Linked DNA regions of Oryctolagus cuniculus. The protein of the gene in region 1 interacts with the protein of each later gene in a pairwise test. Links are inferred from orthologs where the notes say so. Each region holds a gene or a part of one and is shown in the gene's direction. Other genes may lie near its edges.

What was found. The genes of interacting proteins can lie anywhere in the genome.
Region 2: the proteins of TRIM41 (region 1) and protein FRA10AC1 interact in binary tests that used the Homo sapiens proteins (3 or more experiments, as listed by UniProt). The two-hybrid records come from large-scale screens. The link is inferred for Oryctolagus cuniculus from reciprocal best matches to the Homo sapiens genes TRIM41 and FRA10AC1.

Annotation. Positions count from the first base shown.
Region 1 is NC_091445.1:34,916,886-34,920,919, forward strand, and holds the start of TRIM41 (E3 ubiquitin-protein ligase TRIM41), read left to right. Parts: upstream 1-1,234; 5' UTR 1,235-1,950; coding exon 1,951-2,775; intron 2,776-4,034.
Region 2 is NC_091446.1:36,947,004-36,950,981, forward strand, and holds the start of protein FRA10AC1, read left to right. Parts: upstream 1-1,178; 5' UTR 1,179-1,251; intron 1,252-3,978. UniProt on the Homo sapiens protein: May be involved in pre-mRNA splicing.

The DNA of each region.
Region 1 (4,034 bases):
CAATACACCCAAGAAATTCTCTTGTAAAATTAATTCCACAAACCTAATCTGAGTCCCTGCTCTTAGTCTGCAACTCCATGAAGATGAACCTTGAGGCATCAGGGACAGGAGCATGAGTGGTTCACAGCTCAGAAATATCTGGTGAATCCAAAGCCCTTAGGAAAATAAAATTCCCATAAGATTGTAACCGATGCAAATAGAGAGGATTCTGAATGTTCCCAACACAAATGCTAATAAAAGTTTGAGGTGATGGATATGCTAAATAATCTGATCGTGGTATACATGCATTGAAATGCCACACCATACTCCAAATATATGTACATAAATGTGTAAATGACTAGTAAACCTACATATATTATATTAGGCAATGCTTAAAAAATTATAACCAACTCCCGCCCCAAGCAACCTTTGACGTTGATTTTACCGGCCCCAGTATCTTTCTTAGTTTTCAATTTCTCTGTAAAGTTTAATTCGAAAGGAGCAGTACGATTGTCCCTACATTTAAATAATTAGCAAGCATCTCAATGCTAGCATCTATTCTGAGCGCTCTTACAAGAACTCACCGGCAGAACTCCCGATTGCAGAACTTGAAATTGATTTATCACCTCTATTGCTAGCAATCTCATATTAGATAGTTTTTTAGAAACTTCAAGCCCTGATGAAAGAAACTAGTACAGTTTATTCTTAGAACTCTACAGACTGGAGCCTACCTTTTGCCACTCCAAAGGAATCTTACAGGCCATTATTACTGATCAAAAGAGACAAACATTGTACGCCTGAGGGCACTATGCATCTCCAATTTTGAACTGTAACTCACTCCCTTTACTCCAAAGCGTCTGGAAATTAAGCTATAGCTGACTGGCTCCTCTACTTTTTTGCACCATCTCGATGGCAGTGATTGGTTTACTACAAAGCCGATCCAGTAGTTTTGGAGGTTCTGTAGCAATTCCTGTAACCATTTCTGGGAGTTATTTTACAGCAAGATGGACTTGGTTCGAAATTCAAATACAGAAAGACAGTTATGTACTCCTGACTCCCAATTTTCTTAGTGAAATACTAGCAGTATTCTTTCACAACGATGATCACGACGACGATGGTATCACTAAGTAAGGTTCTAATCTCTTCATACAGCTTTAACTCTCACAAAACTATTAGGCGGCTCAAACTACAAAGTCCTGCGCCTAGAAGGGCCGGAAGTAGTTCAGCGCGTTCGCTAGGGCCCGCCCCTGCACTTCCGGCGGCTGTGGGCATTCCCTGTGGCGGTCGTCCGTGTCTGGCCGGTAGGATGGCGCTTGGCCGATGCGGGCATAGCACCGAGAGCAGACGGCCGCCCAACGCTCCAGCCGTACCCCGAAGTTTCTCCCTAGTGGCGGGGGATGGGGGTGGGTGGTTCTGTTGCGTCGGCTTTCCTGGCTCTTCCGCATCACAGAGACGTGGGCCTCCTCCTTCCTAGCCCTCCCGCCTTGTTCCCTTGTGTCGGCTAGAGCGTCCCCTCGCCGTTTCCTGTCGCACAGGGGCCCCGTTGAGGGAAGAGAGGCGTAGCACTACAGCGGAGGGAACTCGTGAGCTTGGGTGGTGCACACGCACCGGAAGAGTTGGGAGGAGGCCGGAAACCAGGGGGCGGGGCCAGGAAGGAGGAGGGGCGGGGGTTTATGAGGAGGCCAGGGGAGCGTTAAGGCAAATTTGCACTCAGGTCTACCTGAGGGACTTGGCGGTGGCGCTCAGCTGTTTCACCCCACCTGTGCCCCCGCTGAGACACGGTTGTCGTCAAGGAGCGGGGAACTCTGGGGAGGTGTGGGTTTTCGAGCGGACAGTTCTCTGGCTGCGCTTGGGACGAGGTGTGGAGAGGCAGGGCTGGGGGTGGGGCGGGGCCGACAGGGCATCTGAAAGGGAAAGACCCCCCCACACCTGCCCCCCCCCACCGCACATCTACACTGGCTGGACACTAAGATGGCTGCCGTTGCCATGACACCCAACCCAGTGCAGACCCTTCAAGAGGAGGCGGTGTGCGCTATCTGCCTCGATTACTTCACCGACCCCGTGTCCATCGGCTGCGGGCACAACTTCTGCCGAGTGTGTGTAACTCAGTTGTGGGGCGGGGAGGATGAGGAAGACAGGGAAGAGTTAGACCGGGAGGAGGAGGAGGAAGAGGAGGAAGAAGAGGATGGAGAGGAGGAAGAAGTGGAGGCTGTGGGGGCTGGTGGGGGGTGGGACACCCCCATGCAGGACGAAGACTATGAGGGTGAAATGGAGGAAGAGGTTGAGGAGGAAGAGGAGGGTGTGTTTTGGTCCAGTGGCATGGGTGGGTCCAGCTGGGACAACATGGATTATGTGTGGGAGGAGGAAGATGAGGAGGAAGACCTGGACTACTACTTGGGGGACATGGAGGAGGACCTCAGGGGAGAGGATGAGGAGGATGAGGAGGAAGTTTTGGAGGAGGATGAGGAAGAGGAGCTAGACACCGTCACCCCACTGCCCCCGCCTCCAGCCCCTCGGCGGTGCTTCACTTGCCCCCAGTGTCGAAAGAGCTTTCCTCGGCGGAGCTTCCGCCCAAACTTGCAGCTGGCCAACATGGTTCAGGTGATTCGGCAGATGCATCCAACCCCTGTTCGAGGGAGCCGTGTAAACGAGCAGGGCATCTGTCCTAAACACCAAGAAGCACTGAAGCTCTTCTGCGAGGTAGATGAAGAGGCCATCTGTGTGGTGTGCCGTGAATCTAGGAGCCACAAACAGCACAGCGTGGTGCCATTGGAGGAGGTGGTGCAGGAGTACAAGGTGAGAGAAGTAGAGAAGATGGGAGTTTATTGGGGGTGGAGAGACAGGAAAAGGAACTGGGAAAAGAAAATGTATCGTTGCCTCCAGAACTTCATGAGCTGGTGAGCTGATTTTCCCTATCTAAGCACTTATTTGTAGCAAGATGTTAGAATGGGAGGGATCCTGTACATAGAAAAAGTAAACACATTGATAAAGACTAGGGAATGTTGACTTCAGAGTGAATAGGGCAAAATCAGTGATGCCAGATCACTAAGCTTCCTCTCCTGAAGGAGGAGGTCACAGGTCTCCAGGGGTTTATCATCATTCTCATTTTTTTCTGTGTTAGTTTTAAGTCTGTCTTTAACTGCATCCCTTAGAAATGTAAAGAACTGGGAGTCTCACAGGAAAGGCTCTGAAACAAAAGCATAGACATGACTGCTAGTGTCAGACCCAAATGTCCTGCACTTGCCTCCTAAGGGATTCTCTGCCACCTCATGATATGGCTTGAGTCTCCCTTTGTGGTCTTTAGTTGGATCTGTTTCTGGTGTACTGACCAGAAAAGAGACTTTTCAGACAGAAAAACAAGCTCAACACATGCTCACTGTCTATTTTTGATAAAGTCTCTGAGTGTCTTTGGACTTTATAATTTCTCCAGCATTCATAGTTAATGTTTACTGGGTGCTTACTATGTCTGCCAGGCACTGTACTATGTGCTTTTCATGGACTGTCCTTTAAGACAAAAAACCCTGTGGGCTGGATAGGTTTTACATTACCATTTTATAGATCAGTAAACAAAGTCAGAGACATTTAAGCAGGGCCACATAACTTTAGTAATTAATGCACTTGGTAATGGCTGTCCCTCTACCTGGCATACAGCATCATTATCATTTGAATGTCTCTTGATAATTTGGTTTTTGTGACATGTACCCTTTTTTTCTTAGAGTCTTTTCTTTCTAGTTTGGTTAATATTTTTCTTTCTGATTCTGACTTTTCTTTAGACAGAAATAAAGGAAATTTGTGAGACAGATCAAATAGTAATATTAAGCAAAGGCCTAGGTGGGTTTGAAGCAGGGGGACCACAAGGAGGGAGGAGAGGGTAACCTCTGAATAGTCTGCACAGAGCGTTTTTGTAATACGACTTTTTGCTTTATGTTTTCACACGTGATTCCTACAGTAACTTCATTTCAATTTTAGAGTAGCTCTGAGTGGTGCAACCAGGACAAACCTATATCACCCTGTCACTAGTCAAACCTAATTGTCGAAAGTCCTAGGGGAAGTTT
Region 2 (3,978 bases), on another chromosome or scaffold:
ATCTGGGTTAAGTGGTCTGTGAAAACTGTTAAATTTTTCTTTCTTTTTTCTAATGCAAGGAAGACTAGGAAAAGGTGGTAATCACTGTGAAATATTATAGGCTGTGGAATTTTTTTCTGAAAAAGTAGTATTTTTTAAAAGGCTAAATGATAAAGCCTTAGTAAGGATGACTTATTATTTCTCTCATTCATGCTATTTATTTTTACTTTTTCTTTCTTTAAAAGATTTATTTACTTGAAAGGGAGATTTACAGAGAGAGAGAGAGGGAGAGAGAGAGAGATCTTCCACCTGCTGGCTCACTTCCCAAAGGGCCACAACAGCTGGGGCTGGGTCAGGCAAAGCCAGGAGCCTGGAACCCCATCCAGGACACCCATGTGGGTGGCAGGGACACAAGCACCTGGGCCACTCTCTGCTGTCTTCCTGGGCACATGAGCAGGAGCTGGATCAGAAGCAGAGCAACTGGGACTTGAACTGATGTTCATAGGGGATGTTGGAGTCATAGGCAGCAGATTAAGCCACTGTGCCACACCAGCCCCCATAGTCTTTCATTTCTTATTAACTATGCACTTATATGTTGATGGGGGATTTTTTTAATATGCTATTTGCTCCCCAGGAAGATCAGTTCTGTGCTTCAAACAAGACCAAATCTCCTTGGAGTAAATAGAACTTGATTTCAGGTCATATTGAATTCTCATATATAGTCGTAGGTTTTGCTGCTTTCACACTATGAAAAAGGACCCTGGAATCCACTCCTTGCAAGGGGAACTGTCCTAGGAGTGGCAGAGGTTGAGTTCATTAACATACGTTATAAACCTATGGCAGTGAGGCCACTATTCTCCTTGGAAATGTCAGTTACTTCTGCCAGGAGCCCGTGTCATTGGGGGTTTCCAGTTGCAGCGGAGAAGGAATTAGGGCTGTCACATGTGCAAACGCATCTCTTAAGATCGCATTCATTAAGTACCACTCCCTGCCACTAAAGCAAACTAGAACACATAATTGTTCTCACTGGTTACGTTTCAAAACTGGTCCTACGGAAAACATGAATAACTTGCTTGGGAAAGGCTTTTTCTTCCTATTGTTTGAAATCTTAAATGAGACTTTAAAAACATTCTGTACAACTAATCCAATGAGTTTTTATTGGATCGTTTTATTTTCCCTCTCCTCCCTACAGAGTGTGGCTTTTGGTTTTTCTTATTTGCCAACACAAGCTGCCAGCCACGGCCTCCCGGGATCTTTTCCCAAGCACTCCAGGTAACTCCCAGTCCTTGCACTGCATCTGTTTTCCTCACTGTCCCAGGCTGACATTTCCCAAAGTACCTCCCATCATGCCTCTGCAGAAGGCCCGAAAGAGCTGTGGGGCTGTAGCAGAGTCGTCAGATGAAGGCAAGTTATAGGAACAGGATGTTTCTCTTTCTGTTCCCAATAGCAGAGTAAGAAACCACTGTCTGTGCACCAATCAAACACCACTGGCTCTCAGTGGTGTCTCTTCCTGGGCTGTGAGGGGTCACACATGCTGCCGGACTTCGCTGCACACCCCAAGTAATGGCTGGTGTTATTTAGGCCTCAGCTGGTGGCCAAAAGCAGGCCCCTCAGTCTTCCTGTCCCAGTGGGAGGCTGGTCGCCTGTGTGGGGTTTCCAGGGCACTGGCTGGCCCCACTGCACGGCAGAACCCTACCTGTTTCTGGTTTTTTTTTTTTTTTTTTTTTGGACAGGCTGAGTTAGTGAGAGAGAGACAGAGAAAGGTCTTCCTTCCGTTGGTTCACCCCTCAAATGACCACTATGGCCGGCGCACTGCGCCGATCCGAAGCCAGGAGCCAGGTGATTCCTCCCAGTCTCCCATGCAGGTGCAAGGCCAAGCACTTGGGCCATCCTCCACTGCCTTCCCAGGCCACAGCAGAGAGCTGGACTGGAAGAGGAGCAACCAGGACAGTATCCGGTGCCCCAACAGGGACTAGAACCCGGTGTGCCGGCGCCGCAGGCAGAGGATTAGCCTAGTGAGCCATAGCGCCAGCCATGAACCCTACCTGTTTCTAATCGATGTGACCATGCAACTGTTGCGATCATGGCACAGTTCACATTCAGAGCCTTCCCATCTATCTCCTCCTCAGTGAAAATGAGCTTATTAGGTAAGCGCAGAGAAGGAGGCAGAGAACCCTGGGCAGGAAGGATGCAGAGCAAAGTCCTCAGGAGCAGGGTCCTGGAGCCTCCCAGACAAATTTGACCCCGACAATTCTGCATGACATCAGCCTGGTGCAAATGCACCCACCGAGGTTAGCCAGTGTGAGTTCACTGAGGTCGTATAGGGTAAGAATTACTCGCCTTTTTGTTATTTCTGAAACCTGAACTGCTTTTGGAAGTAAGGGCTGGAATGTTCCATAGGCACTCAGGGCATGGGACACGGGCATGGCACACACTCGGTGCGGGCTATTTAAAAACCAATCCCCTGGCTTCCCTCATGATTCTAAATGCGTGTAATCACATTCTGCAGCAGCAGCCGGTGACTATTTCTATAACACTGCCCTGCATCTGTGCTTGCTGTGGCTGGGCCCACCCAAAACACAAACAAACAGAGTGGAGATGTGGTAACCTATCTGGTTGATCAGACCAGACTTTCTGTGTCACAGCCAGCGTCCAGCTAGCGTCTGAGTGGTTGTGTGACTGTGACTTCTCCAGTTTTAAGGACTGATCTGTTTCTCTGTCCTAGGGGAGGAGAGTGTCTGAGCACATCAAAGGAATGCCTTTTAAATGAGCCATTTATTATTTAACAAACGAACATCATAAGCACAATTTGCCACTTTCTCAGATTCAGCAAATTCTTTCCCCCGTGGAAAGATCCCAGCAGAGAAACTTTGTCCCTGTCTGTATTAAAGAGTCTATCTTTGTTGGATTTGTTTGATGTGTTAACACTTTCTTTAATCACCCCACTGGCTATCAGTGGTAATTAATAAGGAATCATCTATGAATTGTTAATCACTTGAAGACATTAGCCGGTGGAAGGACATTAGCCAACATGGTTATATAATGTCAAAACACCTGATCAAGTTTGAGAATTCAGGGAAATAGTCAAACCAGTTCTGGGATTTCATGTAGACAAAACAACAGATTGAGTGACTTGTAGTTTTAACCTTTATGTAAATTTTTAAAATTCTGCTACTTATGAAATGTTACAGCATTTGCCATACCATATGTCAAATGTTTTATCTACCTACATCTGATTTGTCTCTGTAACAACCCTGCAAGATATGTATTATCCCCATTTTACAGATAAGGAGACTGAGGCTCAGTAAGATTAGTAATTTGCACAGACTATATGCCTAAGTTTGAATAAGTGGTGGGGTGAAATTTAAATGAAAACCTCTTGAGTTTCAGTCCCATGTTGTTTGTATATATAACCTCAAACAGCCAAAATGGCCAAGAAGGCAAGGAACAAACCAACAAGCAAAATCTTGGGTCCCAAATCATGCAGTTAGGATACCTCCAACTCAGTAGACCCCAATTGGCCCATTCTCCCTGGAGCCCTTCAGCTACAGCAAGTCTGTTGCCTATGACCCGAGCACAGAGACCTTTCAACCCCCATGCGCTAGGGCTCCGAGAACTGAACTCTGATTGCCAAACCCTACGCGTCAGAACAGATGAGCCGCGTTCCATGATGCCTGTGAAGAGATCGCATTTCTTAGTCAAATATTATCTTTTTGAATATTTTCAGGCATACACGGACTATGTGGCTCCCTTTTGGCCAACTCAAAACACACAGCCAAGTGTAATCCTTGGCGCTTTCCTATATTAATATTTTCTTTCCCTCCTTGTCAGGGGACTAGTTATAAATTAGATGAGAGCAGAAAACCATCCCTTGAGAGTTGCTGTGTCAAGGAATTACCTAGAAAGAAGCATGCTGTTGTTTTTCCTTTTTTCCCCCCACATGGTAAATCACACAGAGTAGCAGCCTGCCTCGGATCCCCTGAGACAACATCTTGAGTG